Linked DNA regions of Ovis aries. The protein of the gene in region 5 purifies or fractionates together with the protein of the main gene of each other region. This does not show direct contact. Links are inferred from orthologs where the notes say so. Each region holds a gene or a part of one and is shown on either strand. Other genes may lie near its edges.

The links.
Region 1: the proteins of DBN1 (region 5) and HOMER3 purify together in Homo sapiens (co-immunoprecipitation; 3 studies listed by BioGRID and IntAct, counting the BioPlex papers as one, with this or other methods). This does not show direct contact. The link is inferred for Ovis aries from reciprocal best matches to the Homo sapiens genes DBN1 and HOMER3.
Region 2: the proteins of DBN1 (region 5) and GSN purify together in Homo sapiens (co-immunoprecipitation; 3 studies listed by BioGRID and IntAct, counting the BioPlex papers as one, with this or other methods). This does not show direct contact. The link is inferred for Ovis aries from reciprocal best matches to the Homo sapiens genes DBN1 and GSN.
Region 3: the proteins of DBN1 (region 5) and TWF1 purify together in Homo sapiens (affinity purification with mass spectrometry; 3 studies listed by BioGRID and IntAct, with this or other methods). This does not show direct contact. The link is inferred for Ovis aries from reciprocal best matches to the Homo sapiens genes DBN1 and TWF1.
Region 4: the proteins of DBN1 (region 5) and HOMER1 purify together in Homo sapiens (co-immunoprecipitation; 3 studies listed by BioGRID and IntAct, counting the BioPlex papers as one, with this or other methods). This does not show direct contact. The link is inferred for Ovis aries from reciprocal best matches to the Homo sapiens genes DBN1 and HOMER1.
Region 6: the proteins of DBN1 (region 5) and TMOD1 purify together in Homo sapiens (co-immunoprecipitation; 3 studies listed by BioGRID and IntAct, with this or other methods). This does not show direct contact. The link is inferred for Ovis aries from reciprocal best matches to the Homo sapiens genes DBN1 and TMOD1.

Annotation. Positions count from the first base shown.
Region 1 is NC_056058.1:4,095,686-4,099,185, forward strand, and holds part of HOMER3 (homer protein homolog 3), read left to right. Parts: intron 1-380; coding exon 381-512; intron 513-2,173; coding exon 2,174-2,281; intron 2,282-3,355; coding exon 3,356-3,477; intron 3,478-3,500. UniProt on the Homo sapiens protein: Postsynaptic density scaffolding protein. Binds and cross-links cytoplasmic regions of GRM1, GRM5, ITPR1, DNM3, RYR1, RYR2, SHANK1 and SHANK3.
Region 2 is NC_056055.1:2,266,941-2,270,955, forward strand, and holds the start of GSN (gelsolin), read right to left. Parts: upstream 2,801-4,015; 5' UTR 2,798-2,800; coding exon of another isoform or gene 2,710-2,797; intron 1-2,709. UniProt on the Homo sapiens protein: Calcium-regulated, actin-modulating protein that binds to the plus (or barbed) ends of actin monomers or filaments, preventing monomer exchange (end-blocking or capping).
Region 3 is NC_056056.1:142,936,627-142,940,726, forward strand, and holds the start of TWF1 (twinfilin-1), read left to right. Parts: upstream 1-1,300; 5' UTR 1,301-1,338; coding exon 1,339-1,363; intron 1,364-3,181; coding exon 3,182-3,259; intron 3,260-4,100. UniProt on the Homo sapiens protein: Actin-binding protein involved in motile and morphological processes. Inhibits actin polymerization, likely by sequestering G-actin. By capping the barbed ends of filaments, it also regulates motility.
Region 4 is NC_056060.1:10,527,957-10,531,978, reverse strand, and holds the start of HOMER1 (homer protein homolog 1), read left to right. Parts: upstream 1-1,222; 5' UTR 1,223-1,364; coding exon 1,365-1,507; intron 1,508-4,022. UniProt on the Homo sapiens protein: Postsynaptic density scaffolding protein. Binds and cross-links cytoplasmic regions of GRM1, GRM5, ITPR1, DNM3, RYR1, RYR2, SHANK1 and SHANK3.
Region 5 is NC_056058.1:36,671,321-36,675,602, forward strand, and holds the start of DBN1 (drebrin), read right to left. Parts: upstream 2,801-4,282; 5' UTR 2,688-2,800; coding exon 2,596-2,687; intron 1-2,595. UniProt on the Homo sapiens protein: Actin cytoskeleton-organizing protein that plays a role in the formation of cell projections. Required for actin polymerization at immunological synapses (IS) and for the recruitment of the chemokine receptor CXCR4 to IS.
Region 6 is NC_056055.1:50,079,208-50,082,707, reverse strand, and holds part of TMOD1 (tropomodulin-1), read left to right. Parts: intron 1-709; coding exon 710-840; intron 841-2,477; coding exon 2,478-2,585; intron 2,586-3,500. UniProt on the Homo sapiens protein: Blocks the elongation and depolymerization of the actin filaments at the pointed end. The Tmod/TM complex contributes to the formation of the short actin protofilament, which in turn defines the geometry of the membrane skeleton.

The DNA.
Region 1 (3,500 bases), about 33 Mb from region 5:
GTGTCTTGGGGGCCAGGGGATACTCTGAATTTTTCTGAGTCTCCATCTTCCTCCTGAAATGGCTCAAGCCAAGTGGTGCTAGTGGTAAAGAATCCACCTGCCGATGCAGGAGACTAAGAGACATACGTTTGATCCCTGGGTCAGGAAGATCCCCTGGAGGAGGGCATGGCAACCAACTCCCATTCTCCTGCCTGGAGAATCCCATGGACAGAGGAGCCTGCTGGGCTACAGTCCATAAAGTTGCAAAGAGTCGGACAGGACTAAAGCGACTTAGCACAGGAGGGCTAATAGAAGGCGATTTTCTCTGGGGGTTTCCTATTGATTATTATTACCAGTTCCATCACCCGTGAACTTTTCTCCCCGACTTCACCTTCCCCCAGGCCATCATCAACAGCACTGTCACTCCCAACATGACCTTTACCAAAACCTCCCAGAAGTTTGGACAGTGGGCAGACAGTCGCGCCAACACTGTCTATGGTCTTGGCTTTGCTTCTGAACAGCATCTGACTCAGGTGGGCCTGCGGGGGTACATGGTGGGAGGAGCAGGGCTGGGGTTGGGTCTTCTCTTGTGTGCACTGCGGGACCCTGGACAGATGCTGGGCCTCCATCTTCCCAGCTACAGGATGGGCATACAGAGTTGGACCAGCCTATAGCCCCTTCCCACTCCCCTGGTCCACATCCCAGCTCAGCTGGCCACCTGTTTTGATTTTGAACACACCCTGCTCCTCTCTGGGTGCCTTTAATGGGCTGAGTGCTTCCCCACACCCCTGGCAGTACCTTCATCACCACCTCCTTCCACCCTCTGCTGTTTCTAGAATTCGGCATTGTCTTATGAATTGTTTCCCTGTATGGTTCATGCTCTCTGCGATGCTTTTCTTCTCTTTTCTTCTAGAAGCATTAGTTTCCCTTTCAAATTTTAGATCTTGAATTAATTTCTGCAGGCGGTATAAAGTAGGAGTATTTTTTTCACATATGAGTATTCAGTTGCTCTTGGGACTTTTTTTTTTTTTTTGCCACACCATGTGGCATATGGGATCTTTGTTCCCCACCTGAGGATTGCACCCCCTGCACTGGAGGTGTGGCGTATTAACCACTGGGCCACCAGAGAAATCCTGGAACGGTTTTTGAAAACACTACCTACCCCCAATACCCCCAGTGAATTGCACTGGCCGCTTTGCACAACCCAAAGGGGGTGTATAGCTATAAATATTTTAAAAATTACTTTCAAGCTAAGGAAATTTATTTTAAAATTTAAAAAGGTGGGGGGCTTCCTTGGTGGCTCAGTGGTGAAGACTCTACCTGCCAGCGCAGGAGAAACGGGTTCCATCCCTGGACTGGGAAGATGTTAGACGCTGCAGAGCAAGGAAGCCCGTGCGCCACAACTATGGGTCCCGTGCTCTAGAGCCCGGGAGCTGCACCTGCTGAGCCCACGTGCCCCGGAGCCTGTGCCCTGCAACAGGAGAAGCTGCAATGGGAAGCCTGTGCACCGCCACCAGAGAGGAGCCCTTGCTCGCTGCAACCAGAGAAAAGTCTAAGCAGCGATGAAGACCCAGTACAACCCCAAATAAATACATAAACAAAAACTTTTTTAAAAGGGCTCCCTGGTGGCCTCGTGGTTAGGATTCCAGGCTTTCACTGCCATGGTCCAGGTTCAGTGCCTGGTCAGGGAACTGAGATCCCACAGTCCACTTGGTGCAGCCAAAAATAAATAAATAAAATGGAAAAAAAAAAAGTATATCCTACTCTAGCTGGAAAACAGGTATGGGAGATTAATGTAAACTATGACAAAAATGAGAACAGGGGGATTACTTTCCCACTGGCTGCAGGTGCCTGTCAGAGGCTCCAAGTCCAAGACCTGCTTTCTCTTTGTCACAAAGGATATTCACAAGCGTCCCAGGCACGAAAGACAGATTAGCACCCACCTGAGGCTCTCCTTACTGAGATAAGCTGATTGAGGGGAAAAGGGGATCTCTTTCTCAAGGTGGCCTCCGTGAACACCCCACCCCTGCCCTCTAGCCGGATACCCACTCTGCTCCTTGGGCATCATTTTCCAAGCCTTCTTCCCTCTCTTGCAAAGTGACAAAGCTAGTGCTGGGTGGGAGTCATGTGGTGGGGCCCTGGTGGAGGGGGCTGGGAGTTTGTTGACTGTCTGTTCCTATTCCTCATCCCTCAGTTTGCTGAGAAGTTCCAGGAAGTGAAGGAGGCAGCAAGGCTGGCACGGGAGAAATCCCAGGATGGGGGAGAACTCACCAGTCCCGCGCTGGGGCTCACTGCCCACCAGGTCAGCACTCCTTGTCCCAGAACTCAACTGCCCTGGAGGGGAAGGGTCTAAACGCTATGCCGGTGCTCAGGACCAGACACTCACTGATGATGTAAAACTAGAGCCGTGACCGTGGAAAAGGGTCGTGGGTGCCGTGGGTGCCGTGGGGGCATGTCATAGGCCTGCCTGAAAGGAAGGCCAGAAAGCCAGCTCACGTGGCAGCGTGGAAATGTGAAAGGTGAAGTGGCCAAGTAGTGGTGCGTGCTTGCATACTGTCGCTTCAGTCGTGTCCAACTCTTTGTGACCCTATGAACTGTAGTCCTCCCGCTTCTCTGTTCATGGGATTCTTCAGGCAAGAATACCAGAGTGGTTTGCCATGCCCTCCTCCAGGGGATCTTCCCAGCCCAGGGATATTGAACCTGCGTCTCTTATGTCTCCTGCATTGGCAGGCGGGTTCTTTACCACTGAGCCACCTGGGAAGCCCTAAGTAGCGGGGTGGGGTAAAAAACTGTCCCTGAGCGTTTCCCCCCACTAACCTATTCAACATCATTGATTGACCACCTACCGTGTGCCAGGCCCAGGACTGGGCACAGGGCTTAAGAAGATAAAAGAAGTAGGCTGGTCCCCGCCCTCAGGACTGTGGTCCAGGCATCAGGTGGATTCATAATGAATTTAGCCTAATAGAGTAGGTTTCTCATAGGAATTTTAAATAGCTGTTGAAATTTGGCCCCAGGAAAGGTCATTGCGGTGAGGGAATAGCACCGAGGCTTCAGATTGCTCCCCGATTTGCAGATTATGAGTATCTGTCTCCCTGGGTTTAGGCTAGCCTGCATTAGATTTGTTGCTGGTGGGTTGGTGAGAGCCCAGCAGGCAAGGAGGCGGGACAGGGCGCCAAACTACAGCCCAGGGGCCATGTGGGGGCCGTGGATGGTGGGGGAGGAGGGGAGAGGGACGATTGGATCCCAGTGCTGGGAAGGACCTCCTGCGCCCTCTCAGTCATGACCCCTGACATCAGCCCTGACCCCAACCATGACCTAACTGGCCCTTAACTGAAGCCACGCCCTACTGTGACTTCACTTCTATCCATGCCCTTAGGTGCCTCCGAGCCCCCTCGTCAGCGCCAATGGCCCCGGCGATGAGAAGCTATTCCGCAGCCAGAGCGCGGATGCCCCGGGCCCCGCTGAACGCGAGCGGCTCAAAAAGATGCTGTCCGAAGGGTGAGGAGGGTAGCACAGGGTGC
Region 2 (4,015 bases), on a different chromosome or scaffold from region 5:
CTACTCAAGCAGCTCCTCAACTCAAGACCTGCCGTGGCTCCTGGCATCCAGAGGGTCAGGACCCTGCACTCAAAGCCTCTTTAGCCACTCTGCCCACTAGCTCCCAAACACAGAGGCACCCCCCAGGGGGCTGAGCTTTTGCAGGCGCACCTCCCTTGCCTGGACTTGCCTCCCTTGCCAACCCCTCAGCAGAGCGCTAGACTCGGGGGAAGCCCTCTGAGGCTCCCGGGGCCTCAGGCAACAGCCAGCACAAGTCTGGATCTCCCAGGGCCCCCAGGTTTGATTCACCTCCACTCTCCAGGGCAGAAGCTCGACAATGAAAACCCACAAGGAGCCCAGAGAATGCTGGAAAGGACACATCTCCAGGACTGCCCGACACCAAGCCTCGTCCTGAGGCACAGCGTCAGGACGCCACAGTGTGGAAGAGCCAAAAATTACAGCCTCGGGGCTCATCAGGGTGGGACTTGGCGACTGTCTCTTTCAAGGGTTCCAATCCTGAAATTGGGGCAAAACTCTCCCCTACTTCAAAACCTCCAGTGCCTCCCCAGGGGTCTAGATAAAACTCCAAACCCTAACCAAGGCCCCCAGGAGGCGCCGCCTGGTCTCCAGGCCCCTCTCCCTGCGCCGTGCTCTTTCTCCCAGCTCCTTCCTCTCCCTCACACTGTCCCCCGCTCACACTGTCCCTTCCATCTTCGGTCTGAGCGTTCTCGGGGAGGCCTCCTTCATCTGTCCAGACAAGAGCCCGTCACACCCTCGCAGTCCCCTCTGCTCTCCTAACGCTGGCCCCTCCTTCGCAGCTGAAGAAGGGAGGAGTTTGTGGCTCAGCATAAAGAATCTGCTGGCCTATGCAGGAGACCTGGGTTCAATCCCTGGTGTGGGAAGATCCCCTGGAGAAGGGAATGGATATCCACTCCAGTATTCTGGCCTGAAGAATTCCATGGACAGAGGAGCCTGGCAGGCTACAGGCCTTGGTAGCAAAGAGTTGGACACAACTTAGCAACTAAACAACAATAATAATAACTTATATAAGACCCAAGACGGTAAGACCCACGAGGGCTAGGAAAACCTCATTCTTTGCTGATTCTCCGACCCCCAGTCCAGGGCCTAAATAAATATCTGTCCCGTGAAGGCACACGCTCATGCACATGTGAATGGGTGAATGAACCTCTGTTTCACCAGAGAGGAAGCAGTCAGACTCCTGTGAGCATTTGAGGGAAAAAAAAACAGGGCCCCAGTTAAGGAGGCTGGAGAAGTAGGAGATTAAAGTGAACGGTGCAGCCTGCCAGAAGCGAAAACGAGAGCGAGCTTCGAGGAGGAGGAGGAGGCACCCGGGGCTCCAGCGAGCTGGGGCATGGAGAGCTGAGGAAACACCAGGAGGCGTGGACACGGAAGGGTCACTGGGGAGTGGGCAAAAGGCGGGGCCCAGCACAGGGACGGCGGGACGGTGAAGATGCAGAGGGCCCTCAGCTGACGCGCTCAGCGGCTGCGCCCTTCTGCGGAAGTGGGAAAGCAGAAGATGGTTCCTGTGTCACTTGCCAAAGCATGCAGAGAGTACAACCCTTTATGGGGACACAGCGCTCAGGCCATGGGGCTTTGGGAGCTGTCAAGGCTCTGAGTCTCAGACTCGAGAGCATTAGAGCCAAGGCGGGCCCCGCCGGTCCATCTGGGCAGCTGGGGGAGGCCCCTTCGTCTCGTGCCCTTGGGAGGCGGCTGGTCCCCCTCTATGGGAGTCCCAGCATCGGAAGGCTCTTGCATCTGAGCTTGGGGAAAGAGGAACAGCACCAACTGTGGTCAGCTTGTCATGTCACCGCCTGGAAGCCAGCCGGGCTGCAGGATGAGTAAGCCCTGGAGGTACTCGGCCCCTTCTCCTTTCGGCGGTCAAGGGTGATGTCATGACCCAGGGGAGTGTTTCCCAGGCTTTCCACACAGTTACTATCCGAAACTCGCGTCTCTCTGTTTCAGCACTGGAAGCTGGGTTATCCCCCTAGTGATGATCCTTCCCCTTTCTCCAGCTCACAAAGCCCTTTGGCATCTGTGAGCTTATGCAGTCTGCACCACAGCCTTGTAGGTGGGTGGAGGAGACCAATGCACCCATTTCACAGGCAGAGAAACTGAGGCCCGAGCGGGGACCTGAGCCAGGTCTCCTGCTCTGGCCAGAGGACTCTGCACTCCGTGCCCTGCCTCTCCACCTCCTGCGGCGGCGAATCTGATAGTCAGGTGGGCCCCGCCCTGCCAGCCATCCCAGGTGAGTGTGACTCATGCGCCTTCCCTGTGACTCACCCTTCTCACTCCTCCTCCGGTCAGCAAGCCCGGAGCCTTGGCAGCCACACCCCAGCCTTTCTCACCCTTCCAAAGAATCCTGCACCTCCTCCTCACAGGAGTCCACCCTCCCACCGAGGCGCTACAAGCACTTTCCTACCGTCACCCAGCGCAGGAGCAGCACAGCCAAGGGGGGGCCCCAGGAGTCCTGGCACCCAGACGGCTTCGTGCCTCTTCCCCAAGGGATCACGCTTGCCTGGCCTCCCTCTCTAGGTGAGGAGCAGGTGAGGCAAGGGCAGAGTGCTCTCTGAGCTTTACGAGAAGAGCCCCAGGGACTGACTTTGCATCCACGTGTGGCGCCCGGAGGCTGCTTCCCCAGGCCCATCCAGAGCCCCCGGCAGCCAGGCTGGGTTTAGGAGGGCCCAGCGGTGGCTGCACTGCTCTACCTACCTCGTGGGGCTGTGAGTGAAGAGGGCGGCTCCCTCGGAAGGGCTCGGCACCACTGTGGAAGCGCGGCTCGGGGGGTTCCCAGTACCACCTGTAAAGAGAGGGTCAAGACTCCCAGGCTCAGGGGCTCAAGGTCATCTGGTCAGAGCCCATTTCATGCTCCAGCTCCTCCCCAGCCCCCTCACCCCCCATCCAGGGCACATGCCCCTGCCTGCGCACCTCCAGCACTTCCTGCCAAGGCTGCAAACCTTCTATTCAAGAGTCCAGCTGGTTAAAAGAACCCTCACTGGGACGTGCTGGAATTCTCTGCCCGTGCCCCGTTACGCACCGGCCCTAACTCTGCCCTCTGGGCTCACCCGGAGCAGGTCTGGCACCCCGTTTCCCAGGGGCTCCTCGGAGACTTGAAGACGGAAACCCCAGGCCCTCGCGTCTTCTACCCCTTTGCTCCAGCTCTTCCTGAGATCAAGGTGTCTGGTTCCCTCCCCTGGCTTCCCTGATCTACTTCAAATGAACCCTGTCCCTACTGACAGCGCAAGACCCAGAACTGAACACTTGGATGAGCTCTCTTCAGGGCAGGGCAAGCAGAACTCTCACCTCCATCATTCTAGATACCATGCCTCTATTAATACAGCCGAAAATCCCATGAGCATTTAAGGTAACCCCACTGTATGACTGAATTCAGCTTATGGTCAGGTTCAGAGCTGTGGCTTAAGATCGTGAGGTTAGACAAAAGGGCCCTTCATTTAACTAACATGTAACAATCAAGTTACGTCACCTTTCTGAGCCTCAGTTCACTTCTCCGTAAGACAGGAATTATAAGGTAGGTATTAGAACCTACCTAACCTACCCCATGAGGTCATCGAGAGAGTGAGTGAATAAGTAAAGTCGCTCAATCGGGTCCGAACTCTTATGAAGATCAAATGAGATAAAATACGACAAGGATTTTGAATAATGTCTGTCTGTCACCTTACTCTATCGCTTAACTCTTAAGTCTGTTTCTGTAAAGTGTTATCTTTCTCATGCTGTACTTACGCAAGCTGCTTACATGCCATATTCCCACCTCTATGCCTCGCGTTGCTCCACTCTTGCAAGACTGTATTGCCATTATACGCTGACGAGTCTTTCTCGCCCATGAGACCATGGGCTCCATTAAGTTGCTTTGCCTCTGAAGCCTCAGGCCTGGCAAGTGACCCGGCCAACAGGAGGACCCGTGGGTGTAAGCTGGGTGACCAAACGCAGGGCCAGCCCGCGCGCACCCAGAGCAGTCTGTGCAGCCCCAGTCTTTCAGCGCTCACACTTTCAGAGACAC
Region 3 (4,100 bases), on a different chromosome or scaffold from region 5:
CAAGCTTTCTACCTAGAAAATTATAATCCAGGAGTTCTAGAAAAGTAGTACAAAAATAACTACCAAGATTATCCTTAGAGGGATTTCCCTGGTGGTTCAATGGAGAAGAACCTGCCTGCCAATGCTGGTGAAAGGGGTTCGATCCCTGTCCAGGAAGGTTCTGCATACTGTGGGCAACTATAGCCTGCACAGCACATCTACTGAGCTCACACTCTAGAGCCCACGAGCCACAACTACTGGAGCCTGAGCACCCTAGAGCACGCATGCTGCAACTACTGAAGCCCATGCGCCTTAAAGCCTGTGCTTCGCAGCAAGAGAAGCCACCACAATGAGAAGGCTGTGCACCCCAACTAAGCTACTCGTAGGGTCCCCCCCAACACACACACACAGTTAGAGAAAGCCCATGGGCAGCAACAAAGACCCAGTGCAGCCAGAAATTTAGACAATAAATAAATTATCCTTAGAAATGGAAACACATGCTCATAAAAGCACAGAATGGAAAATAGTTTTTAATAATATGCTACAACTTTATCCTCACAAATGAATCTTGAATAATTACCTGATTTAAGACTAAAGGACCAATAGAAAGCAGAGCAGCGTTAGTTTGGAATGATGGAACTGACCACAGAGGAGTACTCAAATCAGCTAATTTTACTTTCAGTGGCTGTTTCTTTTTGGAATGAGGAGAAAGGAAAACCTTGTCTCTAAATGGGCCCAACTAAAGAAAGAAAAGGTTTAAGTCTGAAATTAATTTAAAAGCCTTTCAAATTTTGATGGGAAACTGCCTATCCTTTTTAAAAAATCGGGAGGAGCGGGACCCTTTACATTAAATTGTACACACAGCAGAAGAGTAAACCAAGAAGGATATCTTGCACATCTTTTTAAAGCTGAAAACTTGTGTTCAGTAAAATGTTCGTTTCCGTTTTTGAGCATCCTTTTGCTGAACCAGTGAAAGGCGTTGGCAGGGCAGACCCCAGAAGGGAAAGCTATCTTGCCAGCCCTGTGGTGCTTCACGGTGGTGGAGCCGGAGAAGCGGCGGCAAACACCGGGGACAGTGACCCTAGGCAGAAAGCTGGAGTAGCTGGAGTTGAGGGCCGAAGGTGTGGACCTGCAGTCCCGCAGCTGGGAGGCAGTCCCGCAGCTGGGAGACAGTCCGGGTGACCAGAGGCGGCGGGAGCGCTGGGGGCGCGCGAGGACGCCGGGGGCCTAGCGGGGCGGGGCGGCGGTGGGTCGCAGGCCGATGACGCGCCGGGGCCGGCGGAGGAGCGGCCACTTCCTGGAGCCGCCGGGGCCGCTCGCTGCACTCAGCGCTGGAGCCGGGAGCTCGCGGCTGCCGCCATGTCCCACCAGACCGGCATCCAAGGTAACGGCGCCGGCGCTGCCCTTGGGGAAGGGGCTCCCCGGAGGCCCCGGGCAGGCCGGGCGGGGCCGGAGTCGGGCCCGAAGCACTGGGAATGTGTGTCGGGGCGAGCCGGGCCTCTGAGTCTCTCTGCGCTCCCGTGTCCCGGGCGCTCTCGGCCTGCCTCCCTCCCTTCCCGGGCCCGGCCGCCGCCACGTTGCGGACGGACCCGAAATTCGCCGGAGCGAAGGAAGTGGGTCCGGCGGCGGCCGGGGTGAAGGGGGCGTGCCTGCAGCCGCAGCCGACCTTAACCCAACTTTAACCGGTTGGGAAGACTTGGAGACGTGAAGGCGATCGGGGTCCTTTTATTGTCAAGAGACAGGCGAATTTTCTTTTTCACGGTCCAGAAGAGTTGTTATATTATTTGAATTATAAAAAGAAAGATGCGGAATCTTTTCCATTTCTACTAAGAATGCTTCCCAAACTCTTCCGCGCTTTCTTCCAAAATGGGAACATCAGCACCGTTGTATGTATCCTAAGTAGGAGGCGTCTTGGTCGTTCTTAGGTACTCCACGGGGAACTGAAAAGTCTGATCTGTGTGGCATCGTATAATTATCCCATTCAGGCAGTTGAATGTGCAATTTTAATTGACCTGTGTTATTTCCTGGTTTGCGAATGGGCAGTCTGAAAGCTCTCACCTCATCAGAATCAAATAATATGTCCCGGGGTTACTCGCGATCACTTAACGAGTTCTAGTATAAACACAAGATCTTCCTGTTAATAGACAACGAATCTTTTCCCCAGATGAACATCTAATTGTGTTTTGTTCATAAGTCTTTGACACCACCCCATACCTCCTCCTGCACACACAAAGAAAAGCAAAATAGTCTCGAATCTGAAAGCACTCTTTTGTTTGCGTTAGTTTTGATGCATGGATATCTAATTATTGACTTTGATGCTTGAGTCTAATAACAAGCACTATTAAAAGTGGTTCTTGCTGTCAATATACACCCCAAGAACAAAATCAGAACGAAATTGAAGTTTTCATAGCGCAAGGGGTAGGTTATTAAGTATACATTTGCTCAGTGAGATTACTCCAGCTTTTTGAGAAATACTAGTCAGAAAAGTGTGACCAGAAGTATAAACTTGAAGGAATTTTATTGACTTCAGTCAGGATAGGGCATTTGACGTTTATTGTCATCTTTAAATATGAAAATGTATAAAATGAATTGATGAAGAGAGTGTTTTTATTTATCGTAAACTTGAAATTAGACCAGAAGAGAATGAAAGCAGATTCTCAGCATTTTCAAAATCAGTAAAGGTATTTCTCAGATGTGTAATTTGTTCATTATTGGGTTTGAGAAACTTTAATATATTCATTCCCAATTCTAATGTAGCTAGGACAGGTTAGAATTAATATACTTTTAAAACATACTTATGTCTCTTAGCTGTGTATGGGGCTTCCCTGGTGGCTCAGTGGTAAAGAACCGACCTGCCAGTGCCGGAGATGCAGGTTTGATCCCTGGTTGGGAAAGATTCCCTGGAGAAGGGAATGGCAACCCGCTCTGGTATGGTGCCTGGCGGGCTACGGTACAGGGAATCACAGAAGAGTTGAACATGCATGACTTAGCAACTGAACAACAACAACAGCAAAAGCCGTTTTCAGTGTCTGGTATACCTTTTAAGTTTTATAATTTAAATGACTTTTAATAAGAAAATATTGCATACTCAAGATTTTTTCTTTGTATTATATTTCATGTTTTCCTTATTCAATTGCATTGTTATTGTAGCATTAGAAAGTATTAATGCATAAATATTACTTTTCTGTATCTTTTTGCACAGCAAGTGAAGACGTTAAAGATATCTTTGCCAGAGCAAGAAATGGAAAATACAGACTTCTGAAGATATCTATTGAAAATGGTTAGTTAAACATTTTTTGTTCTTGAATTACTGGGTGTTATGTAAAGCTAAGTCATTGTCAGTGATTTGGACTATTAATAAATGTGAAGCCGGTTGAAAGCTTGCCTTTAGTTAACCTGTATCCTCTATATTTTGGGCATTTCCTAAAGGCCCTTGCTTACCTTCTGAATTCTGTAGTTGACTATCAGGGAAACAAAAAGATGTTGGTTTTGGTGTGACATCTTTCTCTTTCACTTTTTTGAGTCTCAGTTTCTGTAATGCAATCTGTATCTAATGTCAGTGCTTGCATCTCTGGAATGAAAATCAGTAACAGGCGATTATCTGAAAAATAAACAGTTATTTGTGAATTATTTTTCAATAAAGTTAGTTTGAAGTAGAAGGAAAGGGTTTTAAACTGCCTGTTTTCTCAACTTGATTGTAATGTTTGCTGAGAAATGATTCCCTTTTCTTGTTATGGGAAACAGTTCTGAGAATATAATAAACTGTAAATTGAGCCTTTCAAAATAAAGCTGAAAGCAGGGAAATTAATTGGGTGGGAGAGTCTTTTAATTTGGCTGGTTTGAGTGTGAATAATTAAATTATAATTACTTAATCTCAAATGAATATGTTAAAACATCCCATTGGCCTAATTTCTTAATTACCTTGAAATATTTTGCTTTGGAAAAATATCTTGTTCTTTCATAAACTGGAAGTAAATCTAATTTGGTTTCCAGTTTCTCTTATATGTTAAAAATACTAAAATAATTTGAAAAATATGCAGTTCTACATATGTTAACACACTCAATGAGAATAAACATATACTGTAAAGTAGCCTGTTTTAGAACTATTGAACTAAAATTTT
Region 4 (4,022 bases), on a different chromosome or scaffold from region 5:
TGCTGAGCATTGAAAAATCGAAGAAGGGACTGGTGTTAAGGCCCATCTGGGGTGGCAGGAAGATTGCCTTTCTCTGCTAACCAGCACCAGAGTCTGTCACCAGTGACAGGAGGGAAGGGCAGTAAGGAATCTGGTATAAAACACACGAGAAATTAGAGACTTGTGATCATGATTAGAAAATCAAATATTATTTTGCAATACCAAACTTTATAACAGAATCAACAGTATTAAATTTGCACTCCAAATCAGAAAAGAAACAAAACAGTGTAGGAGAAAGCTTTAGAAATGGAAGCAGACAGGAACCAAAGAGAAATAGATCTTTTTTTATACGTTTGCCTAAAACCAGTGGTGTTTGCTTTTAAACTTACTCACATCTTGTCCTTCGCTCACAATAGAAAAATCTTTCTTTCCTTCCAGAGATTGGAGAAGATTGCAGTAAAGGGCAAAATGTATGTGTGTCCTCTGGGATTAGACAGTGGAGACGATTGTAGTAGAGGGCAAAAGGTATGTGTGTCCTTTCGGGTTAGATCCTCCATTCAAAAATGACGGGACCTTAAAAATTATATGGCCTTCGCAACAAGTTTGTGCCTTAATTTCCTCCTCTGTAAAATAGGTATAACAATGGTGCTTTTTACGTGGGACTGAAGACTAAATGAGGCAATATGGAAAAAGGTTTTAGCAAAATGAGTATCATATATCAAGTGCTCAGTTAATCTTAGCTACTATTCTCATTCTGACAATAGCATTCAAGAAGCAGAAAGGAGCTACCAGTGTGCTATGCTACGCCTGCAAGTGGCTGTTGGTGACTCCTGGCTGCTCTGCCACGTTTCTCTCACACACACACATGTATAGGCTGCGCCGGGTATTCGTTGCTACCTGTGGCTTCCTCTAGTTGCAGGGAGTAGGGGCTACTCTTTGTCTTGCTGTGGAGTAAGGACTCTAGAGGGTGCAGGCTCAGTAGCTGCAAGACACCGGCTTCTCTAACTGCCTGAAGCAGGCTTAGTTGCCCCGTGGCTTGTGGGATCTTAGTTCCCCAATCAGGGATCGAACTTCGTCCCCTGCATCGGAAGGCCAATTCTTAACTATTAGACCACCGGGGAAGTCCCTTGTCCGTATTAAATTGTGTGCAGAGATAATGATGTAGTCTGGCAGTCCCACTGAGGTCTGTGTTATTAATGTGTCAAGGTCAGTGACAGGGCAGGACACAGTGCCCGGAAATCTCACTGGGCATTTTGCTTTCGTTACCTGCTAGGTACTCTTGCCTGGAAACTCCCATGGTCGGGGGGGAGCCTGCTGGGCTGCAGTCCATGGGGTTGCACAGAGTCAGACATGACTGAGCGACTTCACTTTCACTTTTCACTTTCATGCATTGGAGAAAGAAATGGCGACCCACTCCAGTGTTCTTGCCTGGAGAATCCCAGGGACGGGGAAGGGCTGCCGTCTATGGGATCGCACAGAGTCGAACACGACTGAAGCGACTTAGCAGCAGCAGCAGCAGCAGCAGCAGGTAAGTTTGTCAGAATTCTAATGCTGAGTTTTGCTTCTTTATGGCAGAGTTTCATTTTGATATGCTTGTGCTTTATTAGCTGACTTTAGAACGGTTTGGTTAATCTTCCTTCTCTCTGGTGGGAGGAAAATATATATATGGTGTGTGTGTGTGAGAGTTTAAGTGGCTTCAGGCTTACTTCCCATATTGGGAAACTTGCCCTCAGTACCAAGAGAGTCTATGAAACAGTCCTTCAGCATTTGTGCAGCAAGCAGAAAAGAGGTGGATTCCCTTCCCAGCTGACTCATTGATCATGGTTTCTGCTGAATGGATTCAACTCAACAAATTTGGAATCACTGGTCAGAGACCAAGGTGAAAGTCCTGGGTGTTCTTTCCTGGGACTTTTATCAAGGAAAATTCAGCCCCTTAGATAGAATAGCAGGTTGGTTTTGAACCAGTCATCAGCGACAGTAATTATCATCCCTGTTTTACTAAACTGAGGGGTCATGAGGTTAAGTAACTTCCCACACACACGTTACTCACACAGCAAGTCAAAGGCAGAGCCTGAGATCAAACTTTGGCAGTCTGGCACCTGAGTCTGTGCCTTTATTTCCCTCTTCCACCTGTCTGCAAGTTAGGAGGTGCCTTTTTATTTTGACCAACTTTTTCGATAGAACTTTCAAATATGCAGATTTAAAAGTCTCTTTTGTTGAATCAAAATGACTTACAATAATTGATTTTAATGCTAAGGTGATTTGTACTCGTAAAAATTTTTTGATTTATTATTAGTTCCTTCAAAATTATTATAGAATTATAATATATTTTATTTCGTGACTGAACAATGAGACAGATGGTAGGAGGCACCCTTTTCCGCCCCTTATCTTCCCGTTGTGCTCCTAGTCATCCCTAAAAACCCAGGCGTCCACTACTTCCTCTGCTACTCCTGCAACAATACAGGCACTCATAACTGCACTCATCACTCTGCGTTGCGATTATTTGAGTATCTTTTATGACCCCTGCTCAGCAGGACAGGATCGATATTTTTCTTCATGTGAGCACTTGTGTAATAAAGTCAACAAAGAACAAATGTTCACTGAACTGTATTTGAGGAAAACATTTCAATAGCTTTCTTTTATGTGAAGTGCCTTTTTTGGCTGATCAGGAAATTTTAATATGAGGGAAATTTCTGGAATTACATGAACACTAATTTTCTTATAAAATTTCTCTTGTTTGAAACACCGAGTGTGAAAAAATGTAGAGTAACTTACCTGCGTTTATTCTAAAGAACTGTAGTCTTTGCATCATGGCATATTTGTAACCCATTCTTCGAACACTAATAACCTTGTGGCTATTCATGCTTATTTACTGTTCACTCTAAAATCTTTTTGACTCAAAGTTTTTAAGAGTTACATGGGATCAACTCGAAATCAACAAATGTATCCTTGCTTTTTTATTTTGCTTTCTACACACTGTCATCCCTCATTATAATTCTATGAAGTGAATGTCACTGTACACAGTATAAAATGTTTTGCATATATGTAAACACCAGAACCTAGGAGTGCTGTGTCGTAGCACAATTATACAAGTAGAAGCAAATACATTTATGCAACATAATGTAAACAGTTCACTGTTTTTTTGCAAGAATAAAAGCAAAATAATTATGTTGAATAGTCTTTAATTAAAATTAGTTGAAAACAAGTATAGCTCTATTATATTATGTTGTAACTCACCTAGCAGTCAATTTCTTCAGCTTTTCAAATCCACCAATGTATGTAATTTTAGCTGTTAAAAGTGTTACTTATTTAGCTTGAATTAAAGCAAAACTTAAGCTTATGCTATCTATTGACTGGTTTCTTAAGTAACTGTATTTTAAATTAAAGTTTGAAGTTTATTTATGCCATTCTCAAATGATTAGATGTGATTTCATATGTTTAAATTATAAACATATTGGTGTTTACAATATTCTTTATTATAAGCAGTATGGATCCTGGATCTCAGATTTCCTAGGAGGCTTCTAGGAACTTGTGGTAAATACTTACTAGAGGATATGAGCTTTCATTTTCTATTTTAATCTTTATTCTTTTAGAAAGAGATATTATTTAATTCTCCTATATTTACATTTTCATATGATATTGCAGAAGAGACAGTGAATTTATGGAACCTAACTTCCAAATTCCAAAAGACATTTTATATTGTGAATCTTTGCCTATAATGAAAGTCTATTGAACCAGCTGAAGCAGTCACAGGATACCGAAAGAACAATTTCCTCTCTTATACTACATTTATAACTAGTTTTGAAGATTTCAAAGAGACAATCTAGAACCAAACTATTTTTGCAAATAGTCTTGAAGAAATTTTTCTCTCATGTGCATGCTTTCATGTGTAAAAGGAAACCATAACTTTTGTGAAATCATCTTGCTTTTCAAATGTATGTTTGTGTTTAAGTGTGTGGCTTGCCCAGTTTAAAAACCACAAGGGGAAAATTATTTAATGGCGTGCAACCACACAGACTTCACAGACTGAGATTTTCTTGTTT
Region 5 (4,282 bases):
AGGTCACCATGGCCACTCTTGCCTGGACTCTGGCCTTTGGGCGGTGGCGCTTTCTTGGCCTTCCAGACCTAGGCTGCCTCTGCCCTAGCTGAGGTTCTCGTCTCCGGGGACTGCTGGCCTTTCCTTCCCTCTCAGCTCCGGCAGAGAGCTGACCCAGCGGCCTTCCTCCTCCCTAGCTTTTTCTCCACAGGTAGGAGTGGCTCAACATCCATTTTACACAAGAGAAGAGAGAAATGTCTCCTTCCCGGGACCCACTTGGAGGAAGACCAGCTTGGGGCCAGGAAGAAAGGCCGGAGGGGCAAGGAGGCTCAGCCCCTCCTTCAAGCTCCCTTTCCCTGACCGCCAAGGCAGGGTGCTGGGAGGAGACCAGCGAGATGCAGAAGAGAAAGCGAGCTAGGAGAGGAGGCAGAAACGGAAGACAAGGGAAGGGAGGGACGCGAAGGGATGGAGAGAAAATGAAGGCGCGGGGAGGGGAAAGGGGTGGGAAGGAAAGAGGGAGGAGGGAAGAGGGCGAGAGGGAGAAGAGGGCGGGAGAGAGGGAGGTGGGAGGAGGCCGGAAGGCCTGGTCCAGGCCCAGCCCCATGAGGTCAGCACAAGTCACTGCCAAATGGGCCCCAGCCCCTCCCTGCTTCTCAGGATCCCTTCCCTCCTAAAAGGGACACAGGTGGGCTGTGGGGCCAGAAACTCCCCGTCCAACTGTTGCCTGGGCCCCAACCCTGGCAGCTGCCTTCTCCACACAGCTGTCCCACCACCTGTCTGGCTGCCCTAAGCTGCCACTGCGAACAAAAGGCCCTCAGAGACGAAGGATCTGCCCCTTTGCATCCTGCAGCTGGGAAACTGAGGCAGGACTCCACGACTCTGGTTCCCAGACACTGCACTAGCCATCAAGTCACACTTCCCCGGCGTGACCTGTCAGACTCTCCCAGGCTCTCTGTGGCTCTTCCCAAGAACAAGTGTCCTCCCCTTCCATTCTTTACTCCTTGTCTACCCACCTTCAGTCACCTTTCTGTGCTGCAGCCCTGGCCCTTACCTGGTGAAAACCATAGCTAAGTTCAAAGATTTCAGCAGGCCTTCATCCCTGAGCTCCACCCGACCTGCCTTTCCAGCCAGACCTCCATATCCAAACCATACACTTGGATCACACTGGATGGGTCCCTGATGTCCAGCACAGTTCTGGGCATTTCCCACCCTAGGGCCTTTGCATATGAGTCTCCCTTCACAGGAAGGCCAAATCTGCTTCTCCATCCCATGTCCACCCCTGACTGAAATCCCTCAGGGACCCAATGCCAGCTCCCCAGGAAGCCTTGCCCTGCACCTCCCTCCCCAGGGTGCTTACCACACCCCAGCAAGGATGGGAAGAGGCATCTGAAGCTGCCTGGGATCTCACTAGACCTGTGCTTTGGGTGGGTTGGAGCTGGTGAAACCGAAAGGGGGTGGGAGGGAGGGAGGCAGGAATCTCCACCTCCAACCCCTGGAGATAGACACTGTTCCAAACCGTAAGCTTCGTGAAGGTGGGACATTTAACTCAGACTTTCAAGACAGCACAGAGCAGCTCTAGTTGGTATTTGCCATCTAAAAACCATCTCAGCCAGAGAAAGTGGACCGGGGTGAGTGGAAGATGGAATGTAGCAGATCCAGGAAGATTCTGGGTTGAGCTGAGGATGGGGGCTGCAGGGTAGGTGGATTCCTCAGGACAATTACACTCTCAGGATATCAGAACTGGAAGGGCCTTGAGCATCCCGGGTATGGCAGAGCCCAACTCCCTCTCCTGCTTGTCAACAGGAGCAGGGACTCGTGTGGTCATACAGTGAGTCAGGTCACGTCCAGGGTAACACCAGTTCTCACTACATAATCTGCCTTTCCATGGTCCCCTGCTCCCAGCCTCAGGCAGCAGTCTACTCCAGAGTAAGCCACCTGGGTGTGACCTCCCCGACCCTTACTCCCTACTCAGAGGAGGGCAGTGCCAAGCCCCCTTTTGCCCAGATGGTGATTTTATCCAGCACACCCTCCTCCAGCCTCAGTGCAGGGTCTGCTCCTGAGTCTGGAGACCCCACTGTACTCTGGCTCTGTGCTGGGTGCTAGGGGCCCTCATGTCCCTGAAGACTCTCACATTCTTTCTACCAAATGTTTATCTGGGCCCTTGGGAGTGAGCAAATGTGTGTATGTGCGAGGGTGCGTGTGTACATCTGTGAGTGTACCACACACAACCCAGATCGGGGCGGGGGGTGGGGGGTGACGCACGCCAGTGATGAATAATAACTCGCTTGAGCCACATGGATGCTGCTGGGTGGTGGGAGCCCAGGCCTCCGCTGAGCAGGATGCGGGCCAGCAGTGGTTGTGGGAGCTCCGCTTTTTGGAAGGTGGGGGGAAATGGGGTGGAGATAGGCAGCACCCCCAGACTGAAGAGCATTCTGAGGTGGGTTGCGCCTCTCTCCAGGCACGGCCCATATCCCATGGCCGGCTCCTCCACCAGGCCAAGCCAGCCACTTGCCCTCAACTCCTCCCATGATCTCAGCCCCCCTGGGACAGGGCTGGGACAGAGGGTGGGCTGCTTGCCTGCTTAGCCCATCTTGGCCTCTCCTGTGACTGACCCGCAAGACACGAGCGCTTGCTTGTCTCCCTCGTCCATGCCTCCAGGCCTGGCTGCCCGCCAGTGCTGCAGTACTGTGGCATGGATGCCTGGCCATCTTGTCCCCTCCTCCAGCCCCCAGGTCAGTGTCTTCCCAGCATGAGGGTGAGGCCAGCCCAAGTGTGGTCCCTCAGATCTTCCTTCACTTTGTGTTTCCTGCTTGCCAAGGGGAGAAAAGGCCTAGGGAAGAGAATGGGCACTTGCCCCAGGAGAAGAGTATTCCAGGGAGATGACGGTTCCTGAATGGGGCAGCATGGACCCCCTTGGCTTTTCTGCCACTCTGGGGACTCCGGCCCCAGAGCAGGTGGTCCGTCCCCACCCACCACCTAGGGGGAGACAACAGCTGGGGAGGGGAGAGAGGGCAGCCCAGCTCCTCCCCATCCCCGCAGTAGCTGAGAGCCCCTTGCCACTGGGCCACCAGGCCAGGGGCTCCGTGGATCTCCTCACCCCCTCATTCTTCTCAGAAAACTCCCTCCACTCTCTCCACAATGGTCCGCCTGGGGGCTCCCTCCCAGGGACCCCACTTGGCACTCTGGACAAGCAGTTCAGTTCCTTTGGCACGTCCCAGCCTGGGTGCCTAGTCCCTGCACCCAGGGACTAGGGGAGAAGACTCAGCCCTGCCTCCTCGACCCCCAAGGGGCACAGGAGGCACTTGGCGGCGGTGGCCGTGTGGCAGTGAACGTCTTTCCATCACACCCCAACTCGGAGAGGCCCCCCGGTGGGCGGGGCGCCCCGGCCCCAGCCCGCTCCGCTCCGCTCCTCCCCCGCCCTAGCTTTTCCTTTGTGCGGTGGCCGGCTGGGCTGGGCCGGGTAGACAGCTCTGGATCTGCCGGTTCGGTCCCCGCCCGCTCGAAGGTGTCGAAGGTGCCCTTGGCCTCCCGGTGCACACCTGTCCCACCCCGGGGCCCAAGGCGAAGAGGAGGGGGTGGAGGAGCAGTTCTGCAAGGCCAGGAAGCCCCAGGCCACACATCTGGACCCGGCGTCTCTCCAGCCTGCGTCCAGCCACCAGCGTTCCCACCGCGCGGCTGGGGCCGCCTCCGGGTGCTTGGGGACCGCGGGTGCCCCGCCTGGCCCGGCCCGGCCCCTCCCCCGGCGCGCACAAAGGCAGCTCCTCCCTGGCCCTCGCGGGCCGCTGCAGCATTTCGGGGTCTCCTCCTCCCTCCTGGCTACGGGGCGGCGGGGCCGGGTGGAAACAAAGGCGCGGCGGCGGCGGCGCGGGGACAAAGGGGCTGAGGGGCGGGGGCGGGGGGCTCACCAGTCGGCCGCGCTCTCCTCCCGAATCACCTCTTCGTACGCCGCCAGCAGCTCCAGGCGGTGGCCACTGAAGCTCACGCCGGCCATGCTGCGGGCCGGACCGAGGCCGAACGGACAGACGCACGGACGGACGGACGGAGAAGGAGGGAGGGAAAGACGGAGTCGCCGCGCCGCCGCCTCGGAGCCTCTGCAGCGTTGCAAGCCGAGCGAGCCAGCGGCCGGGGGAGGGGAGCCGGCCGGCGGGGGGCGGGGGGCGCTGGCTCCGCCCGGCTAGCTCCCTCCGCGCGCTCGGTCCTAGCGCCGCCCCGGCCCGGCCCTGGGGGAGGCCCGCCCCCCCTTCCCGGCCTGCCCCGGGGCGCCCTCACGCCCCTCGCCCCCAGCCCATGCGCGCCGCGCCCA
Region 6 (3,500 bases), on a different chromosome or scaffold from region 5:
TCCTTTATTTTCTTCTGTACGTTTTAGAGATTTACTTCTTATACTCCACTTCATAATCCTCCTGGAGTTCATGTTTGTGTGCGGTGTGAAATGAGATCAAGCTTTCACTCTCGTATATCAATATTCCATTGTCCCAGCACCACTCCTTGCGAAGTCCGTCCTCTCGCCTCTGGCTTGGGGCTCCACCCGGATCATAAATGTCCATGTGTCCACATGGGTCTGTCTCTGGGTGCCTCTCTTGCTCCGCAAGTCTTGTCCTTTCCTGTGCCAACATCGCATTGTCTGAATTGCTCCACTGCATTGTTCCAAGCTGGCAGTTTGGCCCCAGAGAGAAATAAAGGCGCCCAAAGCACAATTACCCTTTCCTCTGTTAGGCCTACACGTTTCTTTCCCATCCAGTCTTCATTTTATCCTCGCAGGAACCCACTGGGTAGAACGACTGTCCACACTCTACCGTGAGGACACCGAGCTTCAGACAGTTTAGTGAATTCCCCTAGTTCTTGCAAGTTGGCAGAGGCATTATCCAAGTAGGGCCCAGACTCCTGGCCCAATCCCTCACCATCCTCCTCCTACCCTCCCCTCAGTAGCCCCCGAGAGGCCCAGCCTTCCATGTCCCTGAGCTCGACTGCCACTTCCTTCTGATGTCCTGTGTTGAGAGGAAATGACGCCCCATCTCTGTGAGCCATCTCCCTGTTGTCGGTCACTCTAGGTGTGATCAAACCTACACAGTACAAGCCTGTGCCTGATGAAGAACCAAATGCCACCGACGTGGAAGAAACACTGGAGAGAATAAAGAACAATGACCCGAAACTTGAAGAGGTCAACCTCAACAACATCCGGGTGAGGCCCCCTTCACTCTACTTCCCCCGTTGTGGGAATGTGGGGAAAGCCGAGTCCACTCAGAACCAGACAGCCCAGACCAGACTGCACACAGACAGCAGTGTCCTGCTTAAACTCTGGGTGCTTCTGGATCAGGAATAGAGGCAAAACTTTGGGGAAGGAGGACAGTATAAACCAGCACAGCCCATCATCTCGGTTTCCTTTGGGGCCTGACATCAGACCCAGGTGTTCACCACAGCCAACCCAGCTTCAACTCTGGAAACCCACCACCTTATCCACAACACTGAGAGTTTCTCAGAGATAAATCATGAGTCAGACACATATGGCTGCAGGGATCTCAAGGCTGGAAAAGCCTGGTGCCCACCAGGTTCATGGGGTAACCCAAGCCTGGGGAGGGGCCTAACCCTGAACCTGCATCTCATGCACGTATTCAGCCTCATTCTGCAACCCTAGATGGGAACCATTGGCCCAGCGTCCAAAGTCATGCTCTAGGCTGTTGGCCCACATCTCTTTGGACCCTTCCTGTGTGACCACCAGGCAGAGCGGGGACGGCTGGGCAGGCTGTGGGAGGAATGCAGAAGCAGGCCCAGCTGCCTGCTCACCTGCTCAGCCCGGGAGCCAGAGAGATTAGTTCTCAAAGGGGGTGGATGTAAGCTAAGAAGTGGGCCCCTCACTTCCCCGCTCTCTTTTCCTTTCTTCTCCGCTTTCTTTTAAGTGGCTGCCAGCCTCCTGGCATAATCAGATTGGAAACCTGCAACTGCCGTGTCTCCTCCACCTGGCCTCCCTGCGCTTTGCTCCCATGGGGGCTAAAGTGACGCTCTGAAATGCGAGATCCATTCGGGTGCCTCCACTATCTGCCATGTGCGCTGTGGGAGACACTGGCACAATTCAGAACTGTGCACCCTGGCCACGTCTATGGGCTCAGAGAAGTGTGGGATGGGGGGACCTGGCCACGGCCCTGTGCCTTCACCGTGGGGCCTCAGGCAAGGGCTCGCCCGTTTCTCCTCTGCATGTGAGGCAGTTGGACTAGGTCAGTGGTATTCACTTGAGATTAACAAAGTAATAAATGCCAGTGCCCAGTCCCTCTCCCCACAGAGATTCTGATTTTATTGGTCCAGGGCAGGCCTGAGCATCAGCATTTTATGAAAGTTCCCTAGCACCTCCAATGTGTACTAGGGCTGAGACCCTTTGGGACAGATGTCTCTTAAAGATTGTCTAGGGCAATGCCCCACCTTCGTTTACGGAAACAAACTCAGAGAGGGGCAGAGACTCCCCCAGAGTCACACAGCAAGTCAGCAACATTGCCTATTGCACACACCCACAGGCCTGAGCTCTCGGCACAACACTCTCCTGCACCTTTGCCTTGATGTTTTCCTGCTCCTTCGGTCTCTACAAAGAGAAAACTACAGGTGCTATCTGAAATGTTCAGGGAAGACTTTCTCAATCTGTTTATCAGAAAGTTCTCTCCAAATCTCAGCCATCTAGGGCAAAGCAGGAACCCTTTGCCCATTCAGCTCTTTGGTCAGGGACATGCTGGGCGTCAGGTTGCATCAGTTGTGAGAGAATTACTGCACCATCTCTTTGCCTTGCCTGCCCCTGGCAGGACTGCTGGTCACTACTTGGCTTTCTCTCTGCAGAATATCCCCATACCCACTCTCAAGGCATATGCAGAAGCCCTCAAAGAGAACTCGTATGTGAAGAAGTTCAGCATCGTGGGAACACGGAGCAATGACCCTGTGGCATTTGTATGTACCTTTCTGTTCTGTTGCATTGAGAGTGGGAGGCATAGAAACAGGAAAGTTGACATTTGTGGCCTCAGGACTGGCCATGTGCCACTGATGAAGGACCCTTGTGGTGAGCTGTGATGTGGTGAAAGACACAGGGCTAGGAGCCAGGAGGGAGTGTGGACAGAACAGCCATTAGCCAGGCACCATCTGTACATTATCCTAGTTAATCTCCACAATCATCCCAGATCCCAGAAATGCAGGGCTCCCCACTTTACAGGTGAAGAACCCAGGGTAGAGGGAGCTCAGACAACTTGCTTTATCCAAAGTTTCACAGCAAGTGAGAAGTGGAGTTGAGGTTTAAATGCAAGTCACATGGACCTTAAAGTTGGATCTCTGTCTCCACTCAGGGTGTAGACAAGGGCCTGCCTCTCCCTGGTCCTCAGTTTCTCCATATCTAAAACTATTGTCTTCATTGGTGGTTTCCAGTGTTCAATTTTATTTGATCTTTCCTGTGTCTTAAAAATAATTCAGATTAGATTCAGTTCAGTTCATTTCAGTTGCTCACTCATGTCTGACTCTTTGTGATGCCTTGGACTGCAGCACATAAGGCTTCTCTGTTCATCACCAACTCCCAGAGCCTGCTCAAACTCATGTCCATCAAGTCGGTGATGCCATCCAACCATCTCATCCTCTGTCGTCCCCTTCTCTTCATGCCTTCAATCTTTCCCAGCATCAGGGTCTTTTCCATTCAGTCAATTCTTCATATCAGATGGCCAATATATTGGAGTTTCAACTTCAGCATCAGTCTTTCCAATAAATATTCAGGACTGATTTCTTTAGGGTTGACTGGTTTGATCTCCTTGCTGTCCAAGGGACTCTCAAGAGTCTTCTCCAACACCACAGTTCAAAAGCATCAATTCTTCTGCACTCAGC